Regions from separate parts of the Mus musculus genome. Here region 1 is reported to be linked to region 2. Evidence: microRNA targets listed by miRTarBase, many of them from high-throughput screens and not tested one by one. Region 2 holds a microRNA gene; the other region holds the end of a gene's coding sequence.

Evidence for each region. Region 2 holds the annotated microRNA mmu-miR-5118 (AAGGUUAGGCCAGCCUGGU, at 10,739-10,757, opposite strand). A microRNA usually pairs through its seed, bases 2 to 8, with sites in the 3' UTR of a target mRNA and lowers its output. Matches are read on the target gene's strand: a 7mer-m8 pairs with bases 2 to 8, a 7mer-A1 pairs with bases 2 to 7 and ends in A, and an 8mer does both.
Region 1: the mRNA of Gpatch8 is a reported target of mmu-miR-5118. Seed matches in the 3' UTR shown: 8mer at 5,239-5,246 and 7mer-A1 at 6,871-6,877.

What each region holds. Positions count from the first base shown.
Region 1 is chr11:102,466,770-102,482,903 of GRCm38, reverse strand. Gpatch8 (G patch domain containing 8) reads left to right here. Exons shown (of 8, transcript NM_001159492.1): 8 at 817-6,989. The coding sequence ends at 4,711. Itga2b (integrin alpha 2b) reads left to right here and starts at 13,021. Exons shown (of 30, transcript NM_010575.2): 1 at 13,021-13,379; 2 at 15,003-15,124; 3 at 15,214-15,311; 4 at 15,415-15,577; 5 at 15,801-15,850. The coding sequence starts at 13,192.
Region 2 is chr16:55,489,393-55,505,526 of GRCm38, reverse strand. It overlaps Mir5118 (microRNA 5118), which reads right to left and starts at 10,796; the gene lies at 10,730-10,796. Gm45968 (a long non-coding RNA gene) reads left to right here. Exons shown (of 6, transcript XR_001782016.2): 2 at 9,370-9,485.

The DNA of each region.
Region 1 (16,134 bases), not on the chromosome of region 2:
TTAACATGCATTCTTTCTGTCTATCTCCCCCCCTCCCCAAGTAAACAAATACATGTAATCTTGAAAGTGGGGGCGCTAGAGAGATTGATTGTTCAGTGGTTAAAGAGCACTAGATGCCCTTCAGAGAACCTGGATTCAATCTCCAGTTCACATTCTTTTATAAACTCTAATCCCAGGGGATCCAACGTCCTCTTCTGACTTCCAAAGGCAATGCATACATGTAATACACAGGCATACATAAAAGCAAAATGTGCACATAAACTTAAAATAAAATGAAAAGGAAAAATTTGTTTTAAATATATGATTGCTCTAATACATGATTTACTCTGTCTGCATGTACACCTGCATGCCAGAGAGGGCATCAAATCCCTTTAGAGATGGTTGTGAGCTACCATGTGGTTGCTGAGAACTGAACTTGGGACCTTTGAAAGAGCAACCAGTGTTCTTAATCACTAAGCCATCTCATCAGCCCCAGAGAAAAATTTTTTTTTTTTTTAAAAAGGCTTGGTAACAGATTAAAGACGAAACTGTGAGATGCTATTGGTAAAGAAGTTGAGCCTTTTTGTAGGGCAAACAGCTTAAAGGATAGCAATAGCTTGCTGGCCTTGGGAATTTAACCTGGTACTTGAACCAAATGAAACTTTGCCTACCTCCGTTCAATAAGTCCCATTCATCAGCACATTGCTAGGGACAGCCACTCTGGATCTTTGAGACCAACCTATGATGAGTGGAAGGACAAAAAAGACGAATGTTTTATATAAGATCTATAACTCGAATCCTCTCTTTTGTTTTCTCACTTTCTCAACCACTGTATAGTGCACCGGGAAGCGGGCCCATGTTCCGACCAACCACGGTGGCTGTAGACGAGGATGGTGGAGAAGAGGATAAAGATGAGTCATCAACCAACAGTGGTGCAAGTGCTGTTTCTTCTTGTGGCTTTGGAGCCGACTTCTCCACAGATAAAGGGGGCTCCTTCACGTCAGTACAGATCACTAATACCACTGGACTGTCACAGGCTCCTGGCTTAGCCTCCCAAGGTATTAGCTTTGGCATTAAGAATAATCTGGGACCCCCACTGCAGAAATTGGGAGTATCATTTTCCTTTGCCAAGAAAGCTCCCGTCAAACTTGAATCAATAGCATCCGTTTTCAAGGACCATGCAGAGGAAGGGAGCTCAGAAGATGGAACGAAGGCTGATGAGAAGAGCTCTGACCAAGGGGTGCAGAAGGTGGGAGATACTGATGGCACTGGTAATCTTGATGGAAAGAAAGAAGATGAAGACCCTCAGGATGGAGGGTCCCTTGCCTCAACACTGTCCAAGTTGAAAAGGATGAAACGGGAAGAAGGAACAGGGGCTACAGAGCCAGAATATTACCACTACATCCCCCCAGCACACTGCAAGGTCAAACCTAATTTCCCCTTCTTACTCTTTATGAGAGCCAGTGAACAGATGGAAGGGGATCATAGTGCACACTCAAAGAGTGCCCCCGAGAACAGAAAAAGCAGCTCTCCCAAGCCGCAAGGCTGTAGTAAGACAGCAGCAAGCCCAGGGGCAGAAAGAACAGTGAGTGAAGCTTCTGAGCTGCAAAAGGAAGCCGCTGTGGCTGGGCCTTCAGAGCCTGGAGGTAAAACTGAAACAAAGAAAGGCTCCGGAGGAGGGGAAGATGAGCAGAGTGTAGAGAGTAGGGAGACGTCAGAGAGCCCGATGTGTGAGTCCAATCCTAAAGACATTTCTCAGGCCACCCCAGCAACAAAAGCAGGCCAGGGACCCAAGCATCCTACTGGTCCATTCTTTCCAGTTTTAAGCAAGGATGAAAGCACTGCCCTCCAGTGGCCATCAGAACTACTCATTTTCACCAAAGCAGAGCCTTCCATCTCCTACAGTTGTAATCCTTTATACTTTGACTTTAAACTTTCAAGAAACAAAGATGCTAAAGCTAAAGGGACAGAAAAGCCAAAAGATGTCGCAGGCTCCTCAAAGGATCATCTCCAGAGCCTTGATCCTAGAGAACCGAATAAAAGCCAGGAAGAGGAGCAGGATGTAGTGCTCTCTTCAGAAGGCAGAGTGGATGAACCTGCATCAGGGGCTGCCTGTAGCAGCCTGAACAAGCAGGAGCCTGGGGGTAGCCATATGTCAGAAACTGAAGACACTGGGAGAAGCCATCCTAGCAAGAAAGAACCATCAGGCAAGTCTCACAGACACAAGAAGAAAAAGAAACACAAAAAATCCAGCAAGCACAAACGTAAACACAAGGCTGACACGGAAGAGAAGAGTTCTAAGGCAGAGTCTGGGGAGAAATCTAAGAAGCGCAAGAAACGAAAACGGAAGAAGAACAAATCATCAGCCGCAGCTGATTCTGAACGCGGACCCAAATCAGAACCTCCTGGAAGCGGCAGCCCGGCACCACCGAGAAGGCGGCGCCGAGCTCAAGATGATTCCCAGCGGAGATCCCTTCCTGCTGAAGAAGGAAACAGTGGCAAGAAGGATGATGGTGGGGGTGGTAGCAGTTGCCAAGATCACAGTGGGAGGAAACACAAAGGTGAACCACCAACTTCCTCCTGCCAGCGGAGAGCTAACACCAAACATAGCAGCCGGTCCAGCCATCGGAGCCAACCCAGTAGTGGTGATGAGGATAGTGATGATGCTTCCTCACACCGACTGCACCAGAAGTCTCCATCCCAGTACAGTGAGGAGGAGGAAGAGGAGGAGGAGGAAGAAGAGGAGGAAGATGAAGACTCCGGTAGTGAGCATTCTCGTAGCCGCTCTCGGTCTGGCCATCGCCATTCCTCACATCGTTCCTCCCGGCGCTCTTATTCTAGCAGCTCTGATGCCTCTTCAGACCAGAGCTGCTATAGTAGACAGCACAGTTACTCTGATGATAGCTATAGTGACTATAGCGACCGATCACGAAGGCACTCTAAGCGCTCTCACGATTCAGATGATTCAGACTATACCAGCTCCAAACACAGGTCTAAACGACACAAATACTCATCATCTGATGATGACTATAGCCTCAGTTGCAGCCAGTCCCGAAGCCGATCTCGGAGTCATACAAGGGAGCGATCAAGATCCCGGGGTCGAAGCCGCAGTAGCAGCTGTAGTCGCAGTCGAAGCAAGAGGAGAAGTCGCAGCACCACAGCCCACAGCTGGCAGCGAAGCCGAAGCTATAGCCGGGACCGGAGCCGCAGCACCAGGAGCCCTTCTCAGAGATCAGGCTCCAGAAAGGGCTCATGGGGTCATGAGAGCCCAGAGGAAAGGCGCTCTGGCCGCCGGGATTTCATTCGTTCAAAGATCTACCGCTCTCAATCCCCCCACTATTTCCAATCAGGTCGGGGAGAAGGTCCTGGAAAGAAAGAAGATGGCAGAGGAGATGACAGTAAAGGAGCAGGCCTGCCCTCCCAGAATAGCAATACTGGCACAGGAAGGGGGTCAGAAAGTGACTGCAGTCCTGAAGATAAGAATTCTGTTACTGCCAGACTGCTGCTAGAGAAGATCCAGTCCAGGAAAGTGGAGAGGAAACCCAATGTGTGCGAGGAGGTGCTGGCCACCCCTAATAAGGCTGGGCTCAAGTACAAGAACCCCCCACAAGGTTACTTTGGGCCTAAGCTCCCCCCGTCTCTTGGTAATAAGCCTGTTCTTCCAATGATAGGGAAGCTTCCAGCTACCCGGAAGTCCAATAAGAAATGTGAAGAGTCTGGCTTAGAAAGGGGAGAAGAGCAGGAACATTCAGAGCCAGAAGAAGGGTCCCCAAGGAGTAGTGATGCTCCATTTGGGCATCAGTTCTCAGAGGAAGCAGCTGGTCCCTTATCAGACCCTCCCCCAGAAGAGCCAAAGTCTGAAGAAGCTACTGCTGATCACTCTGTGGCTCCGCTAGGCACCCCAGCCCACACTGACTGCTACCCTGGGGATCCAGCCATCTCCCATAACTACCTCCCGGACCCCAGTGATGGGGATACTCTGGAGTCTCTGGATAGTGGCAGTCAACCAGGCCCTGTGGAATCCAGCTTGCTGCCTATAGCCCCAGACCTTGAGCACTTCCCCAATTATGCACCTCCCAGTGGGGAACCTAGTATTGAATCAACAGATGGGACTGAGGATGCCTCCTTGGCTCCTCTCGAGAGCCAGCCCATCACCTTCACCCCTGAGGAGATGGAGAAGTACAGCAAGCTCCAGCAGGCTGCACAGCAGCACATCCAGCAGCAGCTTCTGGCCAAACAAGTGAAGGCCTTTCCAGCCTCCACCGCCCTAGCTCCAGCCACACCAGCCCTGCAGCCCATCCACATTCAGCAGCCAGCCACAGCCTCTGCCACCTCCATCACCACTGTTCAGCATGCCATCCTACAGCATCATGCTGCAGCCGCTGCTGCCGCCATTGGCATTCACCCTCACCCCCACCCTCAGCCGCTTGCTCAAGTACATCATATTCCCCAGCCCCATCTAACCCCTATTTCTTTGTCCCATCTCACTCACTCAATTATCCCTGGCCACCCTGCCACCTTTCTTGCTAGCCACCCTATCCATATAATTCCTGCCTCAGCCATCCATCCTGGGCCCTTCACCTTTCATCCCGTCCCACACGCTGCCCTCTACCCCACCCTGCTTGCCCCACGGCCTGCTGCAGCAGCTGCCACAGCCCTCCATCTTCACCCACTGCTTCACCCCATCTTCTCAGGTCAGGACCTGCAGCACCCTCCCAGCCATGGGACTTGAGTTGGGAGTCGGAAGCCTGTGTTGAGCCAGGGAAGGTGGCCTGTTCTTCCCTTGGGGGTGTTGAGCCATTTATACCAGCAGGTAAAAGCTGGAACGGGCAGTGTCTTGACAGCCAAAGAAATGAGTTTTGGCTTGCAGGGATGGATTTAGATTTGAGGTTTGCTTTGGGTTTACTATCAGGGATATTTACCCCCTTTCTATTAGTCCCTCCCTCCTGTGTTTCTAAGCTAGGGAACACCAGTAAGTGCTACCCACACTCCTCTGCAGCAACATCTCCAGACTGTCAAGTAAGCCTCCTTCCTCCCTCTACTTTCTGATCCTCTGCACTTCCCCTCTGTAAGTTCAAAACATTTTCCTCCTCTAATGGGTTGTCACCAAAGCACTTGCCATGGGCCCATCTGGTCCTGCCTTCTCAGTGCCACGAGAAAGGCCAGGCTGTCTCTTCAGTGGTGAAAACTCCACTTTTCGGCAGTGTCTTTGACTATCCGTTTGTGACACGTTATCCCAGGTGAGGTGGAAGAGGGAGTCTAACCTAGAACCAAAAGCAACTCAGGCTGCAATTTGATCCACTTTCCTTACAAACAGAGCCATGCATTTGGCACTACTGTCCTCATGCCCCTCATCCCAGAAGAGGCATCTACATATCCCAGAAAAGAAGATCCTATCGTGAGTAGAAGCTACACTGAACATAGGGTCACCCATGTGCTTCCCAGAAAGGAGCTCGTGTCTGAAGGGTATATTTCCTTCTGTTATGTTGATGTTTTCTTCTTAATTTATAGGATTTTTTAATGTAAAATTGCACTGAACTCTATAAACATAAATGCTGCTTTTTGTAGCTCATATTAAAAAGGTTCCGTATTTGTAGTATACTGCAATAATATTTTTTACATCCAGCTCTTTAAGTGATCCTTGTTCTGGTGGCTTTCTGTAAATATGTTTGCCCTAGTTGAATTAAGAAACTTTAAAGGTTATAAAAGAAAAAAAAATAAAATATTTGTTTTCTGCTAGATGCAAAAATGACTAAGCATGTATATTTTATCAACCTCCTGTATTTTTTGAAGTTATGAACTATATAAAAATGTTGACACTTTTTTTTGTTTTGTTTTGTTTGCTGGGACAGTGTTAAATAATTTGCAGTAGTTGGTTCATCCTGCACTGGGACTCTCGGGTTGATGAGCAGCAGGCGGCTGCTGCTGTCAGGAGGATGCACAGTTGCAGTGGTCTCCCTGACGTGCTTTGTTATACAGAGAAACCGTGGACTCCATGGAGGAGGGGAGGATTGGTTCAACAGCTTTATTCTCTGGAAGCAGTGACACTCGGTGATTGTCTGGGAAAAGGGGTCCTTTGGTTTCCCTGGGTACCTTGTTCCAGACAGTCTTATTTGCCTTCCTAGTATTTAGCCCCCTCTGACAATTTTTTAAATGTGCCTTGTGGGTTGGCTAGACACTAAAATAGAAGTAGACCAGAGGATACTAGAGTTGGGACAGTTCTCTCTTTGTTGGGAGGTGAGCACGTTTATAGGTAGAGAGATTTTTGGCTTCAAAGTTCTGTGCCGTCTGCCCAGCTCGATTGCTATTTCAGCAGTAGAGGTTCCTTTTTTTTTTTTTCTCCAGTGACACTGACCAGAAGTCTGTCCATCCCTCTCCCCTTTGCCCTTCCCCCAGGCTCTCAGCCCTCCTTAACACTGACCCAAAGGTGCTTGTAATGCAGGTCTCATCTCCTTTGTTAGTGCTCTTCCTATGACTAGAACTGGTTAAGCAGTCAACTGACTGTTAACCCTGCTTGCCTAGGCCAAGGTTCTCTGTTCCTGCCTTCTCAAATTCCCAGCAGAGTGGGCTGTGTTAGGGAAGTGAGTGCTGGGCACTTGAGGCCCGTCCCTGCCTGAGCTTCTCCTACCTTCTGCTCATTGTCCCCTTACAAGTATCACTTTTAGGATAACTAGCCCTGGAAAAACGGTATCTGTTTGAAGTGAAGGGACTGGTTCTTCTTGCTTTCAGCCCGTGTAAATATTTAAATAAAACAGTATTAACATTTTTGTGCTGCTTCTCGTTAGGTTGTAGATCTAGCCATGCTCTGGCCGCCTCTGCCATCCTGGAGGTAGTTTTCCTTAACTTCCAGAATAGTGATTTTAAAACTTTAAAAAAAAAAAGGGGGGGGGATAACCTATCCTTACATACAAGCATAACAGATTGTATCTAACTTTATCACATATGATAGAGATGTATATGCTGTAAAGTGAGGGGAAGGAGCTTTCTAATAAACCAGTGCTTTGTGCAAACTTAGTGGAGTCTGTTGTGATTGCTGCTGCATAGGCTGGGGCAGGTGGGAGTGTGGGTTACAAACAGTGTCCTGTTGGACGCAGTCTGATAATGGGCCCTCTAGGCTAGCTTGAAATGTTGAAAATTGTTATGAGCACTCAGGTAGCCCATGATCAGGATTAGTTTACCTTAAGATGCTTTACCTGGATGCTTTTCCAGTCTTAGGCAGGTGACTGGAAGTGTGCACTTAAGATTCATCTGCTGAGCCTTTGACCTCCAGGTGAAATTCTGTATTACCAGGCTTGAGTTACCATAGTCAACTCTGATTACCGCTGTAATGTTGGAGTGCTTCTGCCTGGCCTATAAGCCTGAAGCCAGCAAAAGTCTTCATCCACACCAGGAAGTCACATCAGGAGGGGCAGGGAGAGCTGGCATGGAAGGGGTCCAGTGATGGCTTCCCTCTTCCTCAGTATCTCAGAGCTGTGTGATGTCTGTCTCCTCCCTTATTTGGATACAGTTGTTTGCTCTCTAGCTACCACAGCTGAGTGCTCAGAACTGTGCTTCAAATGCCAAGCATCTTTGTTCAGACAGTGATAGAAATTGAAAAGTGCATTTCTGAGAGCAAGGAAGGTGGCAAGCAGAAAAGACAAGGCCGCATAGCCTGAGCTCTGTCAAGTCAGTTGTTTTATTCTGATAAGGGCTCAGCCAAGCTAGTCTTGAAACATGAAAGTACTCCCTCTTACACCCTGGAGGACTATTTATCTATTCTTGTTGCCACAGAAAGCTCCACCTCACCCACACCAACTCAACCAGCTCTTTCCTAGCTGGCGTTCCTTGGCTAGAATCTAACCCCCTGCCCCATTAAAGCGTTGCATCTTTTCTGAACCCAAGTGCCATTCATCCTACATTCAGTGCTTCAAGTAAAGTAGCGCACGCCTTTAATCCCAGCACTCAGGAGGCAGAGGCAGGTGGACTTCTGAGTTCATAGGCCAGCCTGCTCTACAGAGTAAGTTCCAGGACAGCCAGGGCTACACAGAGAAACCCTGTCTTAAAAAAAAAAAAAAAAAGTCAATCATAAGCTTTGAGAGGACATTTTTCTTAATGTAGGAATGCTCTTGTCTACATGTATACCTACATGCCAGAAGAGGGCATCAGATCCCTTTTGTAGATGGTCATGCATCACTGTGTGGTTGCTGGGAATTGAACTCAGGACCTCAGAACAGCCAGTGTTCTTTACCACTGAGCCATCTCACCAGTCCAGCAAGGTAATTTTTAGATCTCCGTAAAAAGAGATGAAAAAGCCGTAATAGAAGCTTGATGGTTGTAGATTAAATGATGCTTAGACAGAACTGGGTTCCTTGGCATTCCATGCCCACAGACTGATGGAATAGGAAAGCCAGTCCTCAACCCACTTTCAGACGCAAGATAACCCAGTTCTGACACCAAAGCAATGCAGTCCTCCCACCTCAGGCATCTGGTTTTATTTAATGGTAACACACCCCATCAGCCAGCCAGGGACCAAGCCTTTGGAGGACATTTGGTCACTTCCAGCTACTAATTTTGTACTTAGTTGCTTTTTCTGTCACCTTGGATGGCCTTGGTGGGTTGGTATAAGGCTCAGGCTAACTTCAAGCTTGGTGTGTCATCTTCCTCCCAATTGCTGGATTATAGTCTTGTGTCACTATGTCCATCTCTGCTGTCTCATTCTTTTTTTTTTTAAGATTTATTTATTTATTGTATATGAGTACACTGTAGTTGTCTCCAGACACACCAGAAAAGGGTATCAGATCACATTGCAGATGGTTGTGAACCACCACATGGTTGCTGGGATTTGAACTCAGAACCTTTGGAAGAGCAGTCAGTGCTCTTAACCACTGAGCCATCTCACAGCCCTGCTGTCTCATTCTTAACCATCTGGTTCAGGCGTTTAACCACCTTTAACCCAGAATTCTGCCCTACCCAGCTGGGTTTAACACAAGATCTTTCCTTCCTTCTCCATTCCTTGTAGCCACAGGCAGCCAGTGTCATATTCTAAATTGAATCTCACTGTCTTAGGGTGTCTACTGCTGTGATAAATGCCATGACCAAAGCAAGTTGGAAGGGAAGGGTTTTCAGCTTACACTTCCAAATCACAGTTCATCATCAAAGGAAGTCAGAATTCCTACTCATTCAGGGCAGGAACCAAGAGGCAGGAGCTGGTGCAGAAGCCGTGAAGGGGTGCTGCTTACTGGCTTGCTCCTCATGGCTTGCTCAGCCTGCTTTCTTACAGAACCCAGGACCACCAGCCCAGGGATGGCCCCGCCCACAATGGGCTGGGCCCTTGCCTCCTACAACTCAGTCTTCATGGAAGCATTTTCTTTCTTTCTCTCTCTTTTTTTTTTTTTTTTTTTTTTAGGGGGTTGGTGGGTGGGTGGGAGGGAAGAAGCATTTTCGTAATTGAGGTTTCCTCCTCTTAGATGACTTTAGCTTATCCATCTCTGATAAATAGATGTCAAGTTGGCATAAACCTAGCCAGCACAATCTGTTTCCTAATTTTATTTTGTACTTGAACGCTGGCAAGCATGTAGAGCTGGTACCCCTGCCACCTTGTACAATGAGGATGGAACGCGCACCATTAAGCCTGCAGACCTCTGCTGCCCCTGAGCCATCTCACTAAACCTGGTGACTTAATCTCTGATTTCCTAACATCTTTAGATAGCTGGCCATGTTAACACAACCTTTAATCCCAGCACTCAGGGAGCAACAGGCAAGCAGATCTCTCGAATTCCAGACCAGCCTGGTCTGCATAGTGAAACCCTGTCTCAAATAAAATGAAAATCTTTAGAACGCTCCATCTCTGATAAATAGATGTTCAAATTCCTTAGTGTGGCGTTCAAGTCCCCTTCAGTGTTGTGAGTCCCTGCCTGCCATTCCTGCCCTCATAACCCACCCACCCCTTACGCACTCCTCACTTAGCCCTCTACTTCCTCCTCTTGATTCCTGAGCTCTGGTCTCCTGCTCTGGTTACGTGTATTATTCCCAGTGTCAACCAGACAAAGCAACCTGTGCTTGAATCCTACCTGTGGCATTCCACCTGTGGACAGTATACCCAGAACTCTGCTGAGGCTAGTCTTTGTCTTCCTAAAATAGTCCCAGCCGGATCCACTTTCTAGAGCCACTTCGTAATTTCTGTTCTCCAAGGCGTACTTGCTGTCCCCGGGTGGCGGTCCTGAGTGTCCTGGGCTTAACCTGCTCTAGACTGAGTTAAGACTCTTGACTTGTCTTTGTAGCTTTTATGTCTCAAACAATAGAAATTGTTTTCTAAAACTCTGGTAAGTGGAGCTGGAGAGACGCAGTTAAGAGGCTTTACTGCTCTTCTCTGCATCCGCATCAGGCAGTTAACAACTGCTTGTAACTGCAGAACCAAAACCCTCTGGCCTCTGTGGCACTTGTACACACATGGTGCTAATAAGCACACACACGTGAACAATACGTTTAAAAAAATAATAATAATAAAGCTTGTCACATGGTATGCACTTTTAATCCCAGCACTTGGGAAGCAGATGCTGGCAGATCTCTTTGAGTTTGAGGTTAACATACATGGTCTACAAAATGTCAGGATAGCCATGGATACACAGAGCAATCTTGTCTTGAAAAACAACAACAAAGAGTCTACTCCAGTGCATAAACCAGCATTAGTAGTGGCATCCCTGGAGTCTCAGCTCCAGAGGTGGAGGCAGCAAGATCTGAAGTTTAAGGCCAGCCTGGGCTATTGAGACCCTGATTTGAAAAGAGGCCACAAGGGGTAAGAGTGAAGGAACAAAGACAGGGAGAAGGCTCAGTGAGTGAAAGCACTCAGTGCCAAGCCTGATGGCTGGAGTTCAATTCCTGAGACCCACATGGTAGAAGAAAACCAATTTTTAAAAGCTGTGAACCCGCCAGACGTGGTGGCGCACGCCTTTAATCCCAGCACTTGGGAGGCAGAGGCAGGCAGATTTCTGAGTTCGAGGCCAGCCTGGTCTACAGAGTGAGTTCCAGGACAGCCAAGGCTACACAGAGAAACCCTGTCTCGGAAAAAAAAAAAAAAAAAAAAAAAAGCTGTGAACCCCCATATTCATGCCTTGGCACACATGCCCATACATACATACATACACAAAACGGATTTAAACTGTGGTTAAAAAAAATCCAAGGCAAGGGCCTGGAGAGATGGCGCAGGGATTAAGAGCACTGACTGCTCTTCCAAAGGTCCTGAGTTCAAATCCCAGCAACCACATGGTGGCTCACAACCATCTGTAATAGGATCCAATGCCCTCTTCTAGTGTGTTTCTGAAGACAGTGACAGTGTGCTCACATACGTAAATAAATTAAAAAAAAATTTTTTTAATTGTAAGGCAAAAAACTACCATGTGATGTGAGTCAATATTGGGCTACACAGAACAGACCAACAATTCAGGAAGCACTTATCTGGGAACAGTAGGGAGACAGAGGGTCAGCAGACACTGGTGTGTGACTGACTACATACCTGTCATGTTTTGGCACTGGAAACACACCAGTGAAGAGAGCCCTGAATAAAATCCAAGGAGCTTTCTGCTTAGTGAGGGGTAAAATGTTAGGCTGTGTGCTAAGGGGAGGCATGCGAGGAAGGGAAGAGTTAGGAGTGCTTCAGAAGAGGGGAGAGTGGTAAAGTAGGATAAGGCAGTGGTTAATTCATGGAAATAAAGATGGAGGGGACATGGCTTCATGGTAGAGCACTTGTCCTGCATTCGAAAGGCTATCCCTAGCACTGCAGAAAAGGAGGGGAAAAAAGAAAAGACTTAAAGGAGGGTGTGGCTATAGTCCTACGACCCTTTGCCTTGGGGCAAAAGGCAAGCAAGACCATCAGGGCATGCGTGGTGCTCTTCTGCTCTCTGCCCCCTACCCCCATAGAGAAGGATCTTTTTTTTTAAAGACTTATTTATTTATTATATGTAAATACACTGTAGCTGTCTTCATACACACCAGAAGAGGGTGTCAGATCTCATTATGGATGGTTGTGAGCCACCATGTGGTTGCTGGGATTTGAACTCAGGACCTTCGGAAGAATAGTCAGTGCCCTTAACCACTGAGCCATCATCTCTCCAGCCCGAGAAGAATATTTCTACGCAGAATCTGACCCTCCTCACTTTGTTTACTCCTTCCATCCTTTAGGAAGACTTCAGATTCAGCCTTTCAGCAGCACTACATGCTGGGCTGTGGGCTAGGCCCTAGGACAGCAGAAAGAACCCTTGCTCTCAAAGGACTCGGGTACTCAACCCAGTAAAAAGTGCCATCAGGTACCATGCCCATGTGTGTGTATGCCATGGTGCCATCCTGAGGACTCACGAGGTTTCTCCTAGTCAGTGACTCCGTCCACAAACAGTTCTGGAAGGTTCTATTCTAGCTATCTTTCAATCTATTTTATTTATGTAGATACTGTCAACCAAAAAGGAGCAAAGCTGTTCACTTGAACAGCTGGTGCTCAACCTCGAGGACTGTGAACGCCGCACCTCAGAATGATGTCCTTTTAGCTCCATCTCCCCCCACTTAGGCCAAGACCCATTCATCACCCCTCTGCCCAGTATTGAAGGCTCCAGTGTAACCACACTAAGACTTGGTTCAAGATGGAGACGTGAGGAAAGTGATGGTCAAATGCAACCGGCTGAGGCTGCCCAAAGGCTCATGGGGGAGGAAGTGGGTAAATGTCCTACTCAAAATGATGACAGCCTCTGGTCTTATCAGGGGAGAACAGCTTGCTTACTCCTTCCTCTCCCCTTGGCCACATCACAGCATTCAAGAGCAGGATGGTCAGCTGCATGGGGGAGGTAAGAGCTGTACAACTGTGGGCCATGGCAAAGTGAGCCAGGCAGCGAATTCATGGTTATACTTTCCCAGGCAGAAAGGGATGGTGGCTGGACTTTCACAGTGACAGAGGAAGAGAAAGAGAAAGGGGATTGCCGGGCTTGTGGCTGAGAAACAGAGACAACAGGACATGGAGGTGAGCTTTCCTGGAGAGGAAGGGGAAGCAGTGACTTCCAGCCATCAGCATCCATCCCCGGGGTGGGCCCTCCCCCGTCCTAGTCGACGTCTAGAGGCTATTGCCCTCTGCCATGCCTGCTGCTCAGCCATGAGCTCCAGTCTGATAAGCTGAAACTTCCGGTGGTGGGAACTTCAGGGAAAGGGAAAGAGCTGGCCCATTCCTGTTTAGGACGTTTGGGAAGAAGGAAGATGGCCAGAGCCTCCTGCGCATGGCATTCCCTGTGGCTTCTGCAGTGGACACCACTGTTCTTGGGTCCTAGTGCTGTTCCTCCAGTCTGGGCCTTGAACCTGGACTCTGAGAAGTTCTCCGTCTATGCAGGTCCCAATGGCAGCCACTTTGGCTTCTCAGTGGACTTTCATAAGGACAAACATGGAAGGTGAGCGCTAAAGGACATATGGGCGTTAAGAGAGGTCTGCACCCTCGAATTGCTCCTGTGGACTCTCTCAGTACCTAGATGAGCAAGGTCAGTTCTCCGGTCTGAGTGGAGCTCCTGTCAATGGAGGACCGTTTCCAGGGTGGGTACTGGGGAGAGATAGCAATGGGGAGATGAGCACAAAAGTTTAAAGCTGATGTCTTCCTTTTTCCTTTTCCCCAAGTGTCAGTGATGTGACCGGCTTTACCTCCCTCCCCTCACCCTAAACTGACTGGCAAAGCTACAAGTACCTACCTGGTACACCTTGCTTTCCTCCGTTCCATGCCTCACCTCCTTCCAAATTACAGATGTTTGAAAAGAAGTATTAGATTACTAACAGTCAGTATGGATCAGGCTTTGAGGTCAGACTCCTGGCTCATCTACATAGCTGTGTTTATCCTGAGTGACTTATTGAGATGGACACTGGATTGCCCAGGACTGGGGAATAGTAATTATTCTCAAAGACAGCTGCAAGAAATTATTTCTTCTGCCTGAGAGAGCCACTTCATCAAAAATCAGGTCCCCTTCCCAAGATGGCTTGCACGCAGAGACTATTCGTGATGGGGAAGAACCCAGGGTTGCCTCAATTCTAATGATTCTAAAGGGCACTTCTCTAGCTGAGTGTGGTAACATGTGCTTGCAAACCCAGGACTTGGAAGCTGAGGCAGGAGAACTACCACAAGTTAAATAGCCAGGGCCACATAACAAGACTCCATCAGAATAAATACATAGAATTCCTGATGGGTGTCATGACAGACACCTTTAACCAATCTCCTTTACTGGAAAGCAGAGTTAGGCAGAGCCAGCCTGCTAATCCAAATAGTGAGTTTCCTCCGGGACAGCCAGAGCTACATAGAGAGAGCCTATCTCAAAACAAATAGACAAAACCAACCAAACGAAACCCTCCTGGCATCAGAGCTCCTGAGTGCCTCTGTTCAACTCCTTTCTTTTCTTCCGGTCTCCTGCTTCATTCCCCAAGGTCTGGTCACATGGGCACGATTTAATAAGCATCCTGTGTGTTTATTAACGCACACGTTTACAAAAGCATGTTGCCGGATCATACTAAATACCTCTCATACAATTATTGCATTTACTCTTCCAACAGCAACATTGGTTGTCATTACCTCCATTTTACATATGGCAGGCCTGATTTAAACAGAGATCTGCTAGGCTCCTCAACCCTGTCAGTACCGTACATCCCAGTGAGCTCTCCCCGGCCTTCCCCCTTTCAACCAGGTCTAGCTAAGGGATCTCTCTAGAAGTTTGACAGGCAGACATTTTGTCTGGTTCTTGTTGGGAGGGAGTGAGGGTGAGGGAAATCGGTGTACAAAGGAAGCATAACAGGTCTTTTCAGTAAGGATTATTAAAGCCTTCCCATCCAAACCAAACCAACTGGTTTAGTCTCAGGTTAATTTCCTAAGAATCCACTTTCAGCTAAAATGAAGAGGTTGTCCTCAAAGGACTATCTGTGAGGAAAGGTGGTCCAGTTTTTCCTATGCCACGCCTCCTTCCAGGTACTGCTGGGGCAGTGGGCACCGGGCAGGATAGAAAGGCCATAACCTGTGCTCATCCAGCTTTCCTACACAGCGTGTCCATCGTGGTGGGCGCCCCCAGGGCCCTAAACGCAAGTCAAGAGGAGACTGGAGCCGTATTCCTGTGCCCCTGGAAGGCCAATGGTGGCAAGTGCAACCCGTTGCTCTTCGACCTCAGTGAGTCTCAAGAATGAAGGGGAAAGGGGGTCCCCAGGTGGAAATGGATGGCCGGGCTCCAGAGCTCCACCTTTACTTGTGCCCTCCAGGGGATGAGACACGAAACCTAGGCTTCCAAATTTTCCAAACCTTCAAGACCGGGCAAGGACTTGGGGCGTCGGTCGTCAGCTGGAATGACGTCATTGTGGTGGGTACTGTGGACAAGTCAAAGGGAGCAAATCCAGGGTAGGGACACGTTGGGGGAAGCCCGAATAAGCCCCCTTCCCTACTCTCCTGTGGGTCTGCTCTAGGCCTGTGCCCCCTGGCAGCACTGGAATGTCCTGGAAAAGCGCGATGAGGCAGAGAAGACTCCGGTAGGAGGCTGCTTCTTGGCTCAGCTCCAAAGCGGGGGCCGCGCAGAGTACTCGCCCTGTCGCGCCAACACCATGAGCTCCGTTTACGCAGAGAGTTTTCGTAAGCTCTGGTTTGCCATTCGCTCCGCCCACTGATCGCTGCCAACCCCGCCCCACCAAGGACCTCGGGCCCCGGGGGCCCGCCCCTCCGCTACACCACGCCCCTGGGCCCCGCCTCCATGTCCTCCGGGCTCTGCATAGTTCCCCCTGCCCACGCGGGGCTCTTGGCTTAAGCGCACATTCGGGGGACCTCCCCTTGGCTGATCCCCGCTTGCCTCTTGTAGGCGGAGACAAGCGATACTGTGAAGCAGGCTTCAGCTTGGCGGTGACCCAGGCAAGTCACAGGCAAAAGCAAACAAGAGAGCTCAGCTTGATGGTTGAGACAGGGGGAGGGCGAGTTTGAGGTCAGCCTGGGCTACATACAAGGCAAGCCTGGGCTTCAAAGTAAGACTGCTCTTAAAAGGAGAAGGGGATGGCTTCGGTGGTCCACGCCTATAATTCCAGCAATTGGAGGCCGAGAAAGGGGTGCTCGAGTTCGAGGTCTACCTGGGCTAGGTAATAAGACCCTGCCATAAAAATGAGATAAAAATATATTAACATTTAGCCGGGCGTGGTGGC
Region 2 (16,134 bases):
GGGAGGGGAATGTCTCAGCACGGGCCTTCTGAGGTACCTGCTCCCACCACGCCAATCCGAGGTCTACAAAACATATTCTTGGCTTTTTTTTTTTAAATAAAACACACCACACACAACATTTTTATTTTTAAAATACCATTGTTTGATTTATTTGTGAACAATAGAAACCCTAATTTTCAGCCCCATGCTGCATCTGATTTCTAGGCCTTGCCTCCAGTTCCTTCCTGAATATTCTAAATGGCTGAGCTATGCTTCCTGTGCCTGATTTTTGGTGCTTTCCAAAGATGTGTGATTACTTCAGGTTGTTGTAGTAACACACTCCACCCAGCCAAGTCAACCTTCTCTGGCATCTTCTCATACTAATGAGAACAAACAGGGAGAAGGTCTCCCGCTCTTACAGACACACATCCCCACTGAAGAAGGCTAGGCAGAAGCAGGGCCCTTGGGAGGTCAGAGATGAAGCTGTAAATGTTTCTATGTCTTGGTGCTTAGGGATCTGGAGGCACAACAAACTGCAGTCTTCTAAGGTTACCATAGGAAATGCGTTCCCACAGACTCACTTCCCACTTTCCCAGGGTGAGTCACGCCCTGGTTTCGTTTACTCAAGCAGATAACAACTTAAGTCAATGAAACATGGGCTTTTAAAAAAAATCACTGATAACGTCATATTATGTATTTAAAATTTAGTTATCCATTTAAGCTCACCCCTGAGAGAAGAAGTTAGTCGTGAGTTTCAGGAAAAAAAAAAGTTACTGTTCACACACACACACACACACACACACACACACACACACACACACCACAATCACATTCATACTCAAAACAATGCCTTAATATCAGGTGGGATTCTAGAATTCAGTAGAAAACAAAACTTGGGGGAAATTAAACTACATTCCTACATTCCAAGAACCTAAGGAGGAGATTGGATTCTTAGGAAAATAAAAGTCAGCCAGGGTTCTTACCCAAACCAGGGAGTAGATGCCGGACATACTTAACAGCCAGAGTTCTCCAGTTTCCTTGCCCTGCCCTCCCCTTTTCTTCTCCCCTTTGCGTTCATCTCTATTCTTCATCTCTGTCACATTCTCTAGCCTCTCCCCCTTAACATGTGTATATGCTCTGGCATCTTCTCCTACTAACAGGGAGAAGGCCTCCCGCTCTTACAGATCTTGTCTGCCAGCAACTTCCCTACTATTTGACCCAAGAAGCTCCAGTCTCCAGGGTCACACTCCCTCCTGCTAGTATCTGTGAATTCCCTTTCTTTATCGATAAGGTTTTGTTCTGGAACTCAGGCTGGCCTCCAATTGGTGATCCTCCTGCCTAGTGGTGTGATTCCAGGTAGGCGCCTTCAGTCCTTGCTCCTCCCCTTTTATCTTCCACGATTCTTAGATGATTCTTTATACATCAAAGTATAACCTTATTCCTTCCCAATTCCTGAAATGCTCCTATGGGCCTTCTAGAAGTCAGGAGCATAGAAAATAGCTCTCCATAGCATCAGCTTCTTGAATTCCTATGCAAATCACCTGCAGACTCCTCTCCTGGTCCCTTCCCTACATTTCTCTTCCAGTACAGGTGGCAGAGCTCCACTGTGGCCTGGGTGCCAAAGAGGCCGAATGGAGAGAAATCACTGGTGTGACCAAAGTGTGTCAGAAGAGGCAAAGCTGGGCTTCTCCACTCTGCCTTCCAGTTGTGGCCAACAGCAGTGGCTGTGTGTTTTCTTTAGTTCTACCACCGTCTAGTTTTACTTTATCTATCTATCTATCTATCTATCTATCTATCTATCTATCTATCTATCTATCTATCTATCTATCTATTTATTTAAATTTTGGCCTCAACTTGGATCTAGTTTCTTCCAGATAGCTCATGTCCTACATTCTAATATTATTACCTCCCAGTGCAAACTTCCTAGCCAAATCAGGGACTGTGTCCTTTGATTCCTAAGGTCTTTGTTTCTTTACTAGTTCCTTTCAAAGTTATTTTATTTTATGTCTTCCTGTTTTCCTGATTGTAAGAAGGTTCACCACATGTGTGCAGTACCCACAGAGGCCAGAAGAGGGTGATAGATCCCCTGGAACTGTAGTTACAGATGGTTGAATGCTGCCACATGGGTGCAGAAAACAGAACCCAGGTTCTGTGTGAAAGCAGCCTGTACTCATTTTTTTTAAAAGACATTTCTTTCTTTTTTTTTTTATTAGATATTTTCATTATTTCCATATCAAATGTTATCCCCTTTCCTAGTTTCCTTTCTGAAAATCCCCTATCCCCTCCCCCACTCCCCCTGCTCCCCAACCCACCCACTCCCATTCCTGGCCCTGGCCCTGGCATTCCTCTATACTGGCAGCCAGTACTCTTAACCACTGAGTTCTTTAGCACCTATAGCTCCCTCTTTAAGTAAAACGAGCTACCTTCCAGGTTCACATCTCTTGAGCTGACCTTGAATGCTTGTTACTTTTTTTTAAGGTGCACAGTAACAAAGTTTATTTAAGACCGATTTGAAGACTTGGAAAAGAGGACACGTTAGTTTTAACTTCCTGTCCTGACCCAAACCAATGTCTGCCCTGAGGATTCTATCCCCTCCAGGGCTCTGTCCATCGGCCAAGGTTCATTTAGCTGTCAAAGCACTGGTACCCATGGGTCTAGAGGCAGTTTAGGGGGTCCCATTGCTCTCCCACACTCCCTCACTCCCTCAAACCATAAGTATCACACAGACTGTATTCTCCACTTCCCATCACTACTGCCCTTTGAATTATTAGTTCATGAGTGAATTTTAGTTGCCAGCTCCTCATTAGTTTCCCTTTTACTATTCTTTTCTTATTTTTGCTAATTTCAACATACATGTAAGTAAGGTCTCTAACTGCCCACTTTCTGTTCTGAATTTTCTCTCCGCTTTCTAACTGCCCTTTAATCCACCATCATCATTACTTGTCTTGGTAACGTACAAGGCCCTTTATTTCTAATAACTACAATTCAGTGTCTCAACTTTTGTGTCCTATCTTCTGATCACTAATCATAAGGTCTTATTTCTGGTCTTCTCTTTTTAGTATCTGAATTTCATCTATGCCCTATTTTAGCACAATCTGTTTATGATTTGTTTTCTGTCTGTTGGGACTGATTTTGTTTGTTTCTTTGATTACTTATTTTTTTAAGTCATGATGTCCTTCTTTCTGTCAATTATTGCTCACTTCTGTGCATACGTCCTCAAATACCTCAAGCCCCTATCTTGCTTTATTGTATTCAATGGCTTAGACTTCTACCCTGACGGAATTATTTTCTCTTTGCCCTGGGCCCTAAATCTGAGCATCTATGCACATCCAGGCAAAAGCACAACATGAATCAGGAACGTGATTTTCAAAAGACCCTTCACGCTGACTGAGAATCACCCATTCTCTACCTGCCATCACAGATGGTAGTTTGCTTCTTCTCTCATCTCTTTGTGCTTTGGTGGCAGTCATAGAGGTTTGTCACTGAGCTCTTCTGCTGAGGATCCGTCAGAAGCAGGAAGTAGCCAGATAGCTTGTAGGTACTGCACACTTCGGGTTCAGAGGTTTATATCATGGCGGTTCTTCACCGACACTGCCCAGGCCAATGACTGGAGAGTCTAATAGAGCTGTACCCTCATGTCAGATGCAAAACATCTGTAAAGTAAATCTTAGTGTAGAAGCTTTCCATTAGTCTCAGACTTCCAGACTCTCCCTGGAGTGGAAGGCTCTGCACATCCCCCTCTCTTCTTTCACAGGCACAGACTCCACATTCTCTTGCTTTCCTTCTATTATTTCTACATTTTTATTTATTTATACTATTTTATAATAAATGTCTTGCAATCTACTTTCATGTTGACAGAATTTGCTTTTTGTTAGAGCAGATATCGCCTTGGACTCTCAAATGGTCTCTATCATGGTCCTCCGATTCGAAATTTCTTCCCACTTGGTACTATAGATGTCCTATATATCCTATTTCCTGTAGAACAAACTCTACAGTTTGTTCATAAACCCTATTTCAACTTTGGTTTGTGGGAAATTTTCTCCAGCAAATATCTTCTCTTGTCTATGTATTTCTCCCCTCTCCCCATCTGTTCCCTGTATCTACTCTACTATTCATCTCAGTGAACAAACAGGAATTGCATCTCCATCCCCAAACAACAGCAACATTATTACTCAACCTCTCCAATGAGCCATCCAGCTGACTCAACTCCTTTTCTCCTAAATCCTTTAAGTGTTTTCCTATATTGTATTTCTATTCTTTTTTTTTATCTGATATTTTTTCCATTTTTTATTAGGTATTTAGCTCATTTACATTTCCAATGCTATACCAAAAGTCCCCCATACCCACCCATCCCCACTCCCCTACCCACCCACTCCCCCTTTTTGGCCCTGGCGTTCCCCTGTACTGGGGCATATAAAGTTTGCGTGTCCAATGGGCCTCTCTTTCCAGTGATGGCCGACTAGGCCATCTTTTGATACATATGCAGCTAGAGTCAAGAGCCCCGGGGTACTGGTTAGTTCATAATGTTGTTCCACCTATAGGGTTGCAGATCCCTTTAGCTCCTTGGGTTCTTTCTCTAGCTCCTCCATTGGGAGCCCTGTGATCCATCCATTAGCTGACTGTGAGCATCCACTTCTGTGTTTGCTAGGCCCCGGCATAGTCTCACAAGAGACAGCTACATCTGGATCCTTTCGATAAAATCTTGCTAGTGTATGCAATGGTGTCAGCGTTTGGATGCTGATTATGGGGTGGATCCCTGGATATGGCAGTCTCTACATGGTCCATCCTTTCATCTCAGTTCCAAACTTTGTCTCTGTAACTCCTTCCATGGGTGTTTTGTTCCCAATTCTAAGGAGGGGCATAGTGTCCACACTTCAGTCTTCATTCTTCTTGAGTTTCATGTGTTTAGCAAATTGTATCTTATATCTTGGGAATCCTACGTTTGGGGCTAATATCCACTTATCAGTGAGTACATATTGTGTGAGTTCCTTTGTGAATGTGTTACCTCACTCAGGATGATGCCCTCCAGGTCCATCTATTTGGCTAGGAATTTCATAAATTCATTCTTTTTAATAGCTGAGTAGTACTCCATTGTGTAGATGTACCACATTTTCTGTATCCATTCCTCTGTTGAGGGGCATCTGGGTTCTTTCCAGCTTCTGGCTATTATAAATAAGGCTGCTATGAACATAGTGGAGCATGTGTCCTTCTTACCAGTTGGGGCATCTTCTGGATATATGCCCAGGAGAGGTATTGCTGCATCCTCCAGTAGTACTATGTCTAATTTTCTGAGGAACCGCCAGACTGATTTCCAGAGTGGTTGTACAAGCCTGCAATCCCACCAACAATGGAGGAGTGTTCCTCTTTCTCCACATCCTTGCCAGCATCTGCTGTCACCTGAATTTTTGAACTTAGCCATTCTGACTGGTGTGAGGTGGAATCTCAGGGTTGTTTTGATTTGCATTTCCCTGATGATTAAGGATGTTGAACATTTTTTCAGGTGCTTCTCTGCCATATTTCTATTCTTACAGCCTATCTTCTCCCATTGTTCTCAATGCAATGCAACCTAGCTTTCATTCTTTTACTTTGTTAAACCCAAAATGTACTCCTTAAAGTCAACTTTGGTCTCTGAATGACTAATTTTAATGGCCAATTTAATGACTCATGTTGTATCTGACACAGTGGATCACTCCCTCTGACTCCCCCCTCCCCCCTTCTCCTTTTAATCTATTGACATCTAGGTCATCTTGACTATTTTTCTCCCTCAGTTTTCATTTTCTTGCTATCTGTCTTCAAGGACTTATTAATTGCAATGCAATGCTCTAGAACTACACATATACAGTTAATTATATTTAGGCACAAGAATGTGACTGCTTCTACTGCAAGTCACATCTCTAGCTTGGACCCCCTTGAGATTCAGGCTTACAAATCTTATGTCTAAAGAACCTCTGTTTTATGTCAGGCATTTATCTTGGTACCCAGCAGCCAATTTTCTTTGACTCCAGTTCCTGAATGATAAGTTCCCATTAACCCTGGCTCAGTGGCCCCCAACCAAAAATGTATAACTGTGACTGTCTACTTGTTGTGATTTGACTAACTGATCTTATTGCTTTTGGAACTTGCTTACACAGATGCCCAAAGATTATTTTGTGTTGCCTTAATCACTTAACTTGTCACAACAGAACAGCTTTTTACTTGCTTGCATAGATATTGAAGGTCTTCATAAGGTTTTTTCCCCTTTGAACGCCTTTCCTCCTTCCCCTCCTTCATAGCAAACAAATGCGGCTCAGAGATTGTTCATTCTGCTAGCAGCTAATCAATAAATCTTTTAATTATAATTGGATTGAGTCTATGGTGTTTTCCCAGGGATCACAAGCTTTATAACAACACACCAGTCTGCCTATTTGATATGTTTGGATGTAGCTTAGCAGACATCTCAAATTAAGCAAGCACCAAGTCAATTCCCTTATTTTCCCCTACAGTCATGCAAATCGTTTAGAGCTCAAGCTAGCTTTGATATTGTCAATGATATCTTAGTACTAATGCTATCCAGCAACTCAACTCAGAAGCTGTAGGGCTTTCCCATGCTTCTTTCCTAGTTTATGTAAGCTGCATTTAGGACTAAAACAAAACACTTCACTATCTTCCTCATTGCCATCTCTAGCCATCCCTCATCTTAATTATTCTGACATCTATAATTGTTCCTCTGACTTTATCTTTTGCTTCCTTACACATTTAGTTTTTTTCAATACATTGCATAGGCAGATTCTTTTTAAAAGCTCACCAACAGTACTACTTTATTTAAGACTTAATAATCATTGTATTCAGAGTAAAATCCACCTTTATAATGGCGGACAGGCTCTCTATGGCTTTGACCTTGTGTTGCTGACCTCACTTCCTTCCCAGGTCATCCTGGCCTTTTCACTGATTTCCTGACAAATTAAGTAATTTTTAACTCTAATAATAATAAGTAAATTTAAACTGTAATAATAAGAAGGCATTTGCACTAGATACTACTCCTTTTGTTCCAGGTCCCACCCCGATAAATCTCCCATCTTCCCTTAGACCTTGCTCAGATCTCAGCTTCCTGATGAAGCTCAGTTAGATCTCTTATTTTGGTTGTGGTTCCCTCTGCATGTTGATCTCCTCTTATTGACCTCTACGCAGCTCCCTACCTCCGGTTAAAATAATCATCTCTTAATGTTCTAGCTATGTTACATGCCATGTATAATGTCCATCTCATCTAAATTGCATGTCAGCTCTATGGAAGTAATGTTTTTTTCAGTTCTCAATAGTAACATAGTACCTAAAACAGAAGGGGTTCTCCATAAACCACTATGAAATGATGTATAGCTAGCTATTATAGTTGGTTAATTTGAAAAACAAGCAAATTAAGTGTCAAGATAGTATGAGGTCCAAACATGTTCTAGTCCTTGGCTTTTCCACCTATTAAACAGAAACAATATTCACATCTATTCTATAGGCTTGTTACAAAGTCTAATTGAATTTGTTTAGTGTAAAAACACTTAGCAAAGTGTTGAGTACACAATGAAACCTTAAGATGTATTCATTATTCTTTTGGGGTGTGTCTGTGTGTGTCTGTGTCCGTGTGTCCGTGTGTTCGTGTGTCCGTGTGTCCGTGTGTCCGTGTGTGTGTCCGTGTGTGTGTGTGTGTGTGTGTGTGTGTGTGTGTGCATGCGTGCGTACGCATGTAGCTGGAGAGTGAGTGCAGAACCTTGCATGTACTTGGCAAGTGATCTACTCATTTATATTGGCAGTTCTTTTTATCTTAAATTTCGATTGCTTTTATTTTTGAGGTATGATATAATCACAATATTTCCTTCTTCCCTTTTCTCCCTCCAAGCCTCCTATAAGCCTCTCCCCATCCTCTTTAAATTCATGATCTCTTGTTTCACTAATTGTTATTGCATGCATATATGTATATTGGTATACATATATATCCCCAAATACAACCTGTTCAATCCAGTAATGTTACCTGTATGTATAATAATGTTACTCATGTGTATACTTTCAGAGCTGAGGAAATAAACACAGGAAATGTGAGCAAAGTAGACAGGCTTTGTTTCCTCCACCATCTGAGCTTGTTCTTCTTTGACAGCCTCACTAATGGGGAGTCACCTACTTAGAGGAGGAAGGGGTATGGATATGAGAAGGGAACAAGCTCTTCCCTCAGAGTGGAGTCTCATGATATGCTCAGAATCTGCCTTCTGCCAGTGAGGAAGTCTGGCAGCTGTTTTTCTGGAAAGGTCTATAATTCTTATTGACTCCTGGTCCTAGAACAAAAGATTTTAAAGATAGTAAGTTACTAACATTTCTTAGCGGTTACCGTGTCCACTAAGGACCATATGCCATTTTACCTGAATGGACTCACTTCATGTTGCAAATAGTCCCTACACAGCAAGCACCATGACCCTTCCCTGTGGGGCAGTGGACTGTGCCACCAGACGGAAGAACTGGTAAGGTCGTAGCAAGTTCAGAACACCGATAAATCTCATAATTGAGAACAGCAGCAGTTCGATCTAGCTCCCGACCAGGTTCTGGTTCTGCAGCACGTGACTAGGACAGCCCACTAGGAGGACCTTGACAACTGCTCATGTAGCATAGAGCCTAGAGTTCTCTATATAATGAGACATTTGGATAGGTCTCTAGTGTTTAGCCAATGGGCTTCCCTTCTGGCAAATGGTATTTAATCTCTGGTTTACCTTGAGTGTTTTCATCCTCATCTACCATGAATAAAACAGTTTGGACAAGCAAGGATTGTCTCTTTTATCAAGGACTGCCTGGGAGACCTTCCTCCTACAGAGTCAAGCCTATGACTCCCATAGAAGGCCCCTCTACTTCTGGCACTCACCGTGAGCTAAGCTGAATTCCCCTCTCCTGGACTCATTTTGGACCTGCTGGCTCCCATTCCCAACTGCTCCTGGTCTCCAGCAGTGTCTGGGTACACAGGAGTTTGAGAACCACAACTTCCATTCTAGCCCCCGCTGTTTCTTACCGGGAGAACATGGGCTGGGACCTCTGTCTTCGACAGAATTTCACCTTCCCAGCGGCATGTCGGTGGCCCAGCATCCCACGAGTCCAAAATCGCAGCCACGAGGCAGAAACATAGAAAGGCACTTCCCTTTTGGCAGTCGAGGAAACAGAGGTACACGGAGTGAGCAGCTTAAATAAGTAGTGCAGAATGGCCTCCGAGCAACCCCCAGGTCCTGCAACCCAGCAGCCGCTAGAACAGCTATTTCTGCAATGTCTGAGCCCCAAATCCACTGAAAGTTACAGCTTTCAATCTTAGCAGCTCTGTTGTGGGCTAGGGCACATAATAAGGTATTGTGTAGCCTGTTCTTTCATTTTCTATCTGCTTCATCACTTCAGGAGGAATGAACATGAAGCGGAGCGACCCCATATGGGCAGGACCACCACGGTATCCTGGTATCAAGGAACAAACAGGAAAAACTCCTGATGAGAAATAAGCCAGACAACAGGATACAGTAAGTGCCCAATGCCGACTTTAAAATAGTTCGTATAACTGACTTTAAAATAGTTCTTATAACTCAGACAGCAAGAAGTAGAATATTTAACAGAGAGAAAGGGAAACATTGTAACTAGAACACAACATCAAAATTGGAGTGAAACGTCCTACATCAAAGAGAAACGGAGCATCTTCACGGGTTGAATGATAAGGAATAACTGCCCAAGTATTTTCACTTCTCAAATACATGAGGAAGATCAGAACTTATGATATTAAAATGTTCCAGATGCTTCAGGCCTCTGGTTGACTCTCACAAACGTAAAATCTGGAAGAGGCCCGGGTCAGGAACTTCTACGTACATCAGATCTGGAGTTGGTAAGAAGGCAGACACGCCTTTCCCTGCAGAGTGAGGTCTATGGACCTGTGATTTCATGTTGTCCCTTGGGATTGTCTTCAATAAGAGACCCACCCAGTTAAAAAACCAACAATAACAACAACAAAAAACCTGATCTGATTTATGTACAAATCAAAAACATTAGTTTACCCAGAAGATTCATATCCAGCAAAACTTTTAGAAGCTTTCAGATATTTTGGGTTCTCTCCATTTCCAGAAGGAGGCAGGGAAGGGCGCCAGGTTGCATCTTCCGTCATTCCTCTTTCCAGACAGGTTTTGAGAAGTAATTAAATCTGAGAAGTAACTCATTTCTAGACACTCTTGGCTGACTTTCACCCCACAGTTTCAACGCTAGCCTGCCAGATGTTTCTGAGGACAGAGTGAAGGATTGGGGGTGAGATGACCATGACAGCAGATATCTGGGGCATGTGAAGAATGCGTGATCCTGGCTCAGCGCCGCTGGGCGTGCTGCTCTTCTTTCCTGTGAATTCGTGGTTCACCCCTGCAGCCTCCACCCAGGAAACCCCGTCCCTCCTAAGCACTTCCCCAGCTCTCCAGCCTGTGTTCCTTCCCGCCCCCCCCCCCAGTATTACCTGTCTACTTCATGCTGTAGTTAGTTGCCTCCCACTGGACTTGGCTCTTATTGTTATTTGAAAGCAACAAGTTATATAAAAGGTATTACATTTTAATAACACTTCTTATCTATCTATCTATCTATCTATCTATCTATCTATCTATCTATCTATCTATCTATCTATCTATCTATCTATCATCTATCTATCTATCTATCTATCTATCTATCTATCTATCCTTTATTTGGTTTCTTTGAGACAGGGTTTCTCTGCGTAGTCCTGGCTGTCTTGGAACTCTCTTTGGAGACCAGGCTGGCCTAACCTTCGAACTCAAGCAGAGATCAGCCAACCTCTGCCTCCTAAGTACTAGGATTAAATGCATGTGTCAGTGTCACCAAGTAGTGCTTTCTTTAATAGCCCCACCCAGCAAGCTCAGTAATTCAACACCATCATCTAAGAGTCTTTTTCCATGTGAGTCTCCTCTTCCCTCCTCTCCCCTATTTCAACTCCTTTGTTTGTACCTCTTTTTTTAAAAAAATATTTATTCATTCACTTATTTTTGCTACTTACGTTACTTATATTGTTCTCTTGATTTGGGCTTCATTTTCTCCTGAGCAGCTTTCAGACTCTTAGAATGTTTGAGGTAGTGAGTCTTTCGAGACCTTCTCTCTCAACCATCTAATCTGAAGATAAACATGCTGAAGCTCAGAGAGGTCACATGGTTCACTGTAGCGCAGAGGCAGAGAAAAAAAAAAAAAAAAAAAAAACCTGGGCAGTTATTCCTCATCATTCAACCCGTGAAGATACTCTGTTTCTCTGTGTTGCAGGACAATGTTTTATGCCAATTATGATGTTGTGTTCTAGTTACGATGTTTCCCTTTCTCTCTGTTAAATATTGGTTGACTTGAATGCAAATAGAAAATGTTAATATTTTAAAAGGAAGGATTTTGGAGGTAGGCAGGACAATGGTTAAGAGCTACCATGACAGAGTAAGCTGGCCAAACTACCTCCTTTCTTCATCTGTGAAATGGGGTCAGCCAAATAGTCCTTATCTCATTGAGCTGATAGAGATATAGGTGAGGGTGATGGAAAGTTTATAGGTTGGACCTTTGTACACGACAAGTGCTTTATGTGTTCTGTAATCACTTTTTCACACGGCTGTGTTTCTCACAGAGCAGAAGACTTTACTCTTACCTTGCCTTCTGATTCAACTCTTAGTGGTGCTGTCTGCTCTCCAAGGACCAAATCTTGGCTCCTTCAAAGGCTTATGGGAACAGTAAAAGTTTGCAGACATATTCATTTGGAAGGACAGCTTGTTCAATTTTACAAACATATGGAATAATAATCCAGTACAAGAAGGAGAACAGTAACATTGTTGTAGATATGTAGAGGATATGTAGAGGATATGGCCGGCTGAGTAGGTGACAGACACTAATTGAAGGTGTGGGTTTATCAGTGGAAAGAAAAATCATTTAGAAAGTCATGGTCAAATTTGTTTTAATGGAACAGATATATTCTCTATAATAAGAGAAAATTGTTTTGTGAATTGGGATGCAGTCTTATTTATTTGTTTATTAATTAATTAATTGTCTTTCTATGTAACTCTAGATATCCTGGAAGCTGCTATATAGACCATGTTAGTCTTGAACTCCCAGAAATCCACCTGCCTCTGCTTCCTAAACGCTGGGATCAAATGTGTGCCCAATATTATAATTCATTTCTTACTTTGATTCCTCATTAAAAATTGAGAAAGCTTCGGAGTTGGAAACATTTTATTTTGGCAATGAACAGCAATTATTCTTTTTTTTAAAAACTATTTTTAAAAAGATTTGTTTATTTATGTATATGAGTGCTCTATCTGTATGCCAGAAGAGGATGTGAGATCTTCTACGTGGTTTCTGGGAAGTGAACTCAGGACCTCTGGAAGAGCAACTAGTGCTCTTAGCTGCTGGGTCATCTCTCCAGTCAAACAGCAGTCATTCTTAAACGACATAGTTATTGGGTTAATAGATTTCTCCCTCTGAAGCCCTTATTTTTTGAGAAGGCTCTTCTTTATTTATTTGCTTAGAGGAAATTTACATTGTTGGAAGAGTTAGGAAGAGAACTGTCACATTGTAAATTATCCAAACTGATCTAATCACAACTCCTTCTCAGGAATAATATCTACCTTGAAAGTAGAGCTTTTCCTGATTCTTCACAAAACAGAGTGTGCATGGGATGCATTGTGAGGGCATCGGGGAGGAATCCTTATTCTTTGATCAGGTGGGAGGCTCTCATCCCATCTCTTTTAGCATCCACCAAAGACTACACTCTGGCTACCTTAACCACACTTTCTGTACTGATGCTTTGTGATTCCCTTTGTTTCTTGTCAGCCTATGATTGTCCTTTAAACTTTTACTTGCTTTTATTTCTACAGTTAAAGGGACTGGGGGCCCTGTGTGGAGGAGAAACCCCGGTAATTAAGGTTGAAGTGTGACATCTGAAAGCCCTGAGCCTGGTGCAAAAGGTCAGACTCTCTTTACCAGCAGGGCTTCTCCTTCACTGACCTTGTCTGGGGAGCTCAAAACCCCCATGTCCTTTACCTTGAGAATGTTGTGTAGTCTTGGCTAGATTACAGGTTTTTTTTTAGCACCTGAGGTTCCTGGGGTGCCTCCCCATGCTAGTGAGGCATCTCAGAACCTTAGCCCGAAGCCAGTGACCTTTGCCCACCCTGGATATTTCTACCTCCTTCCCCAAACTACATAATGCTTGACTCATGCCAATTAAAGTTGATGTGTCTCCCCGAAGCTGATCCTGGAATGTTGCCATTTCCATTTGTACTCCCAGGCCACCCGAAACACTGGTCAGCAACTCTGTTCCTTTGTCCTGATGGGCTAGTGGCCAACGAACCCTGGGGAGAAAGGAGGCCCACAGTCTGGAGGTGTTTAAAACAGAGCAAAATGCTGCCTTTGGCTTTCTCTCCAACTTGAATCCTAGAGGTATTCCATCCGATAAATTCATCGACTCTACCAAAAATGGATATTTGCTTTAAAATCAAGATACAATTATGATATATTATAGAATGCATATAAAATGGGATTTTAGAGTGAGACAAAATTAGTGATTTTATAATAGAAATAATTATTTTGTCAATATTAACAATTAATACTTGTGTTATATTTTAAATCAATGTGACATTTAGAAACAAGGAACTCCCAGTATAGTTCACTTCTATGCTTGAATTTAGTGACAAAATATGAGAAAAAAGATGCCTTATATCAACCTAGACATCCAAATTAAATAGTGTACCATTTGATATCACTGTATCACTCCCATTTATAAATCTCATACACTGATAATGCTAGAGTTTTGTTGAAAGAGGCTTGCATTACTTACCTTCCTTTATGCGTCTTTTGGAGGATTTTAAACCAAGCTAGACAGTTTTGTTTTCAGGTTCTTAAATATTCAGATGAATTAGCTTTATATGTGATGCAAATTATGTAAAGTAGAAACACAAGTGCATTGGCACAATGTTCATCACCCTTCATTTTCAAATTATTTCTCTTACATGTTCTTTTGAAAATATCAGCTATGTCTTCATTTATCACCATTGTAAAATTTGTGGCCCTTAAGAAATTGTGACAAAGTGATCGAAATTTACTTCCTTAAAAAGTTTTTAGACCACACACTGTAGTGTTGATAACTATAGGTACAATATGTCTTATGACTTGTTTATTGGAAAATTATCCTTGAACATCTACCCCACTTTCTCCTGATGCTGGCAGCTGCCGTTCTGATCTCTGTTTCTGTGAACTTGACTTGAATATAGATATATTCCTAAATAGAAACCACTCCGTTTGTATAATGTTACTTGTTTTATAAAACATTACACATTTGTTCAAGGCCAACCATTTGGTATTGGACAACTGATTTGTATGTTCTCCCCTGGGGGAAGACTGTCTCTCCCACCCTCAGCAGTCTTTGTCTATAGTTCTTTGTGCGGGTTGAGGCCACAAGGGCTTTCACCTATCCCTTTTGGAGTGTCTACTGCTATCCTTGGTCAGCCCATGCTTAGGCAGTCAAGTTGTTGCAAATTTGTGAGCATATCGTCTGACATTACTGGGAGAAACAGTCTCACAGCAAATTCCCTGATTCTCTGGCTCTTGTAATCTTTCCCTGTTCTGCAGTGTCCCATGAACCTCACATGTGGGGATTGTTTTTAGATATATCCATTATCTCCACAACATGGCATTTCAGTTGGTTGTGGTTTTTTTGTAATGCTCTGTGTCTGTTGCAAAGAGAAGTTTTCTTGATGAGGGGTAGGTAAAGACTATATTTATCTGTGGGTACAAGAACAAATACTTATAATGCAGTTTGGAATTGTCTTAGCTTAGAAACAGTAGTTGTAGGCTTTCCTTTAAGACCCATCACTTCAATAGCACTGAGTAGTTAGCTTGGTTTCCAGCATCAAGCATGGATTCCCTTTGATGAGCTGGCTTGAAGTCCAATTAGAGAGCTGTTGGTTACGTCTGAGGCATGTGTGCCACTATTGCACTGCTAAGGTTATTGTGCCATGCTGGTCATTTTTGTGATTCATAAACATTACACCTGGATAAGACTGTTGGTTTTGAAAGATCCTGACAGAATGTAAAAGGACACAGAAGCCCTGAAATTGGCAAGATAGATGTCAGTGTTAGCAGAACTAGCTTCACTGATTTAGAAAAATAGAGGTGCACAATGCTCTGGCCACTCCTTGAACCTGTGTGTTTGCCAATGTTCCTGACCAGGTGTGTGCCCATTGCTGAACCTTCATTAGGCTCTTTCCTTGCCTCCCTCCCATACCCATTTCTTGAAGAATCAATCATTTTAGAATAGATATTGTTTAGATCTGGAAATCCCCTACTCTCCCCCTTCTCCTTTCTCCCCTGAGGGCCTATAAAAACTGGGACCTCTTTCCCCTCGAGGTTAACTCCTCTACCCCTGCGTGGGATATGAGTCGTCCCCAGAGCTCTGGCTTTCCCCGAATAAAGCTTCATGTGGTTTGCAACAAGCTCGGTCTATCGTGAGTTCTTGGGTGTCCGCTATTGTCCTGAGGCCTGAGCGAGGGGCTCCTTTTGGAGTCTTTCAGTTTCTTCCCTCCTTTGAAAGCTTGCATGACATCTTTTGGTGGCATGTACTCAGGGAGGAGACATTTAGACATCAGTTCTAGCTCAGGAGCCTCTGGGCCCTGTATCTGAAGTATATGATGCCTTCAAAAAAAATAGAAACTTACTTTTCATCTCTGGGTGGTGCAACCAAGGGAAATGGCAATAGTCTGTAAGGTTTCAGGAATCTCTTGGATAATCCTGGGAAACAACTCAAAAGAGGGCTTCCCATGTTAGATTTGTTAGATGATCTTTGGATCTTGGAGGGAGCATTATCCGTCTAGATGAGAAAATTTCATTTAAACCATATATCTGTATTTATACAATGACTTGTATGTATTTTAGTTTTGTTGTGGGGGAGGTGGTAGATAGTTAATAGTCTAAGTGCTTTAACTTTTTAAGATATTGTTACTGTTATTTTACCGTTCTTCCCTTTTCATCTTTATTCATCTTTCTTCTTCTCTCTAATTAGAGGCTCATTAATTTCCCCATTTTTCTGATCAGATTATTTGTTTCCTGCTATTCCCACCGGTTGTGGGAAATATTAAAAAGAACTGCACCATTTGTGCAATACCCAGC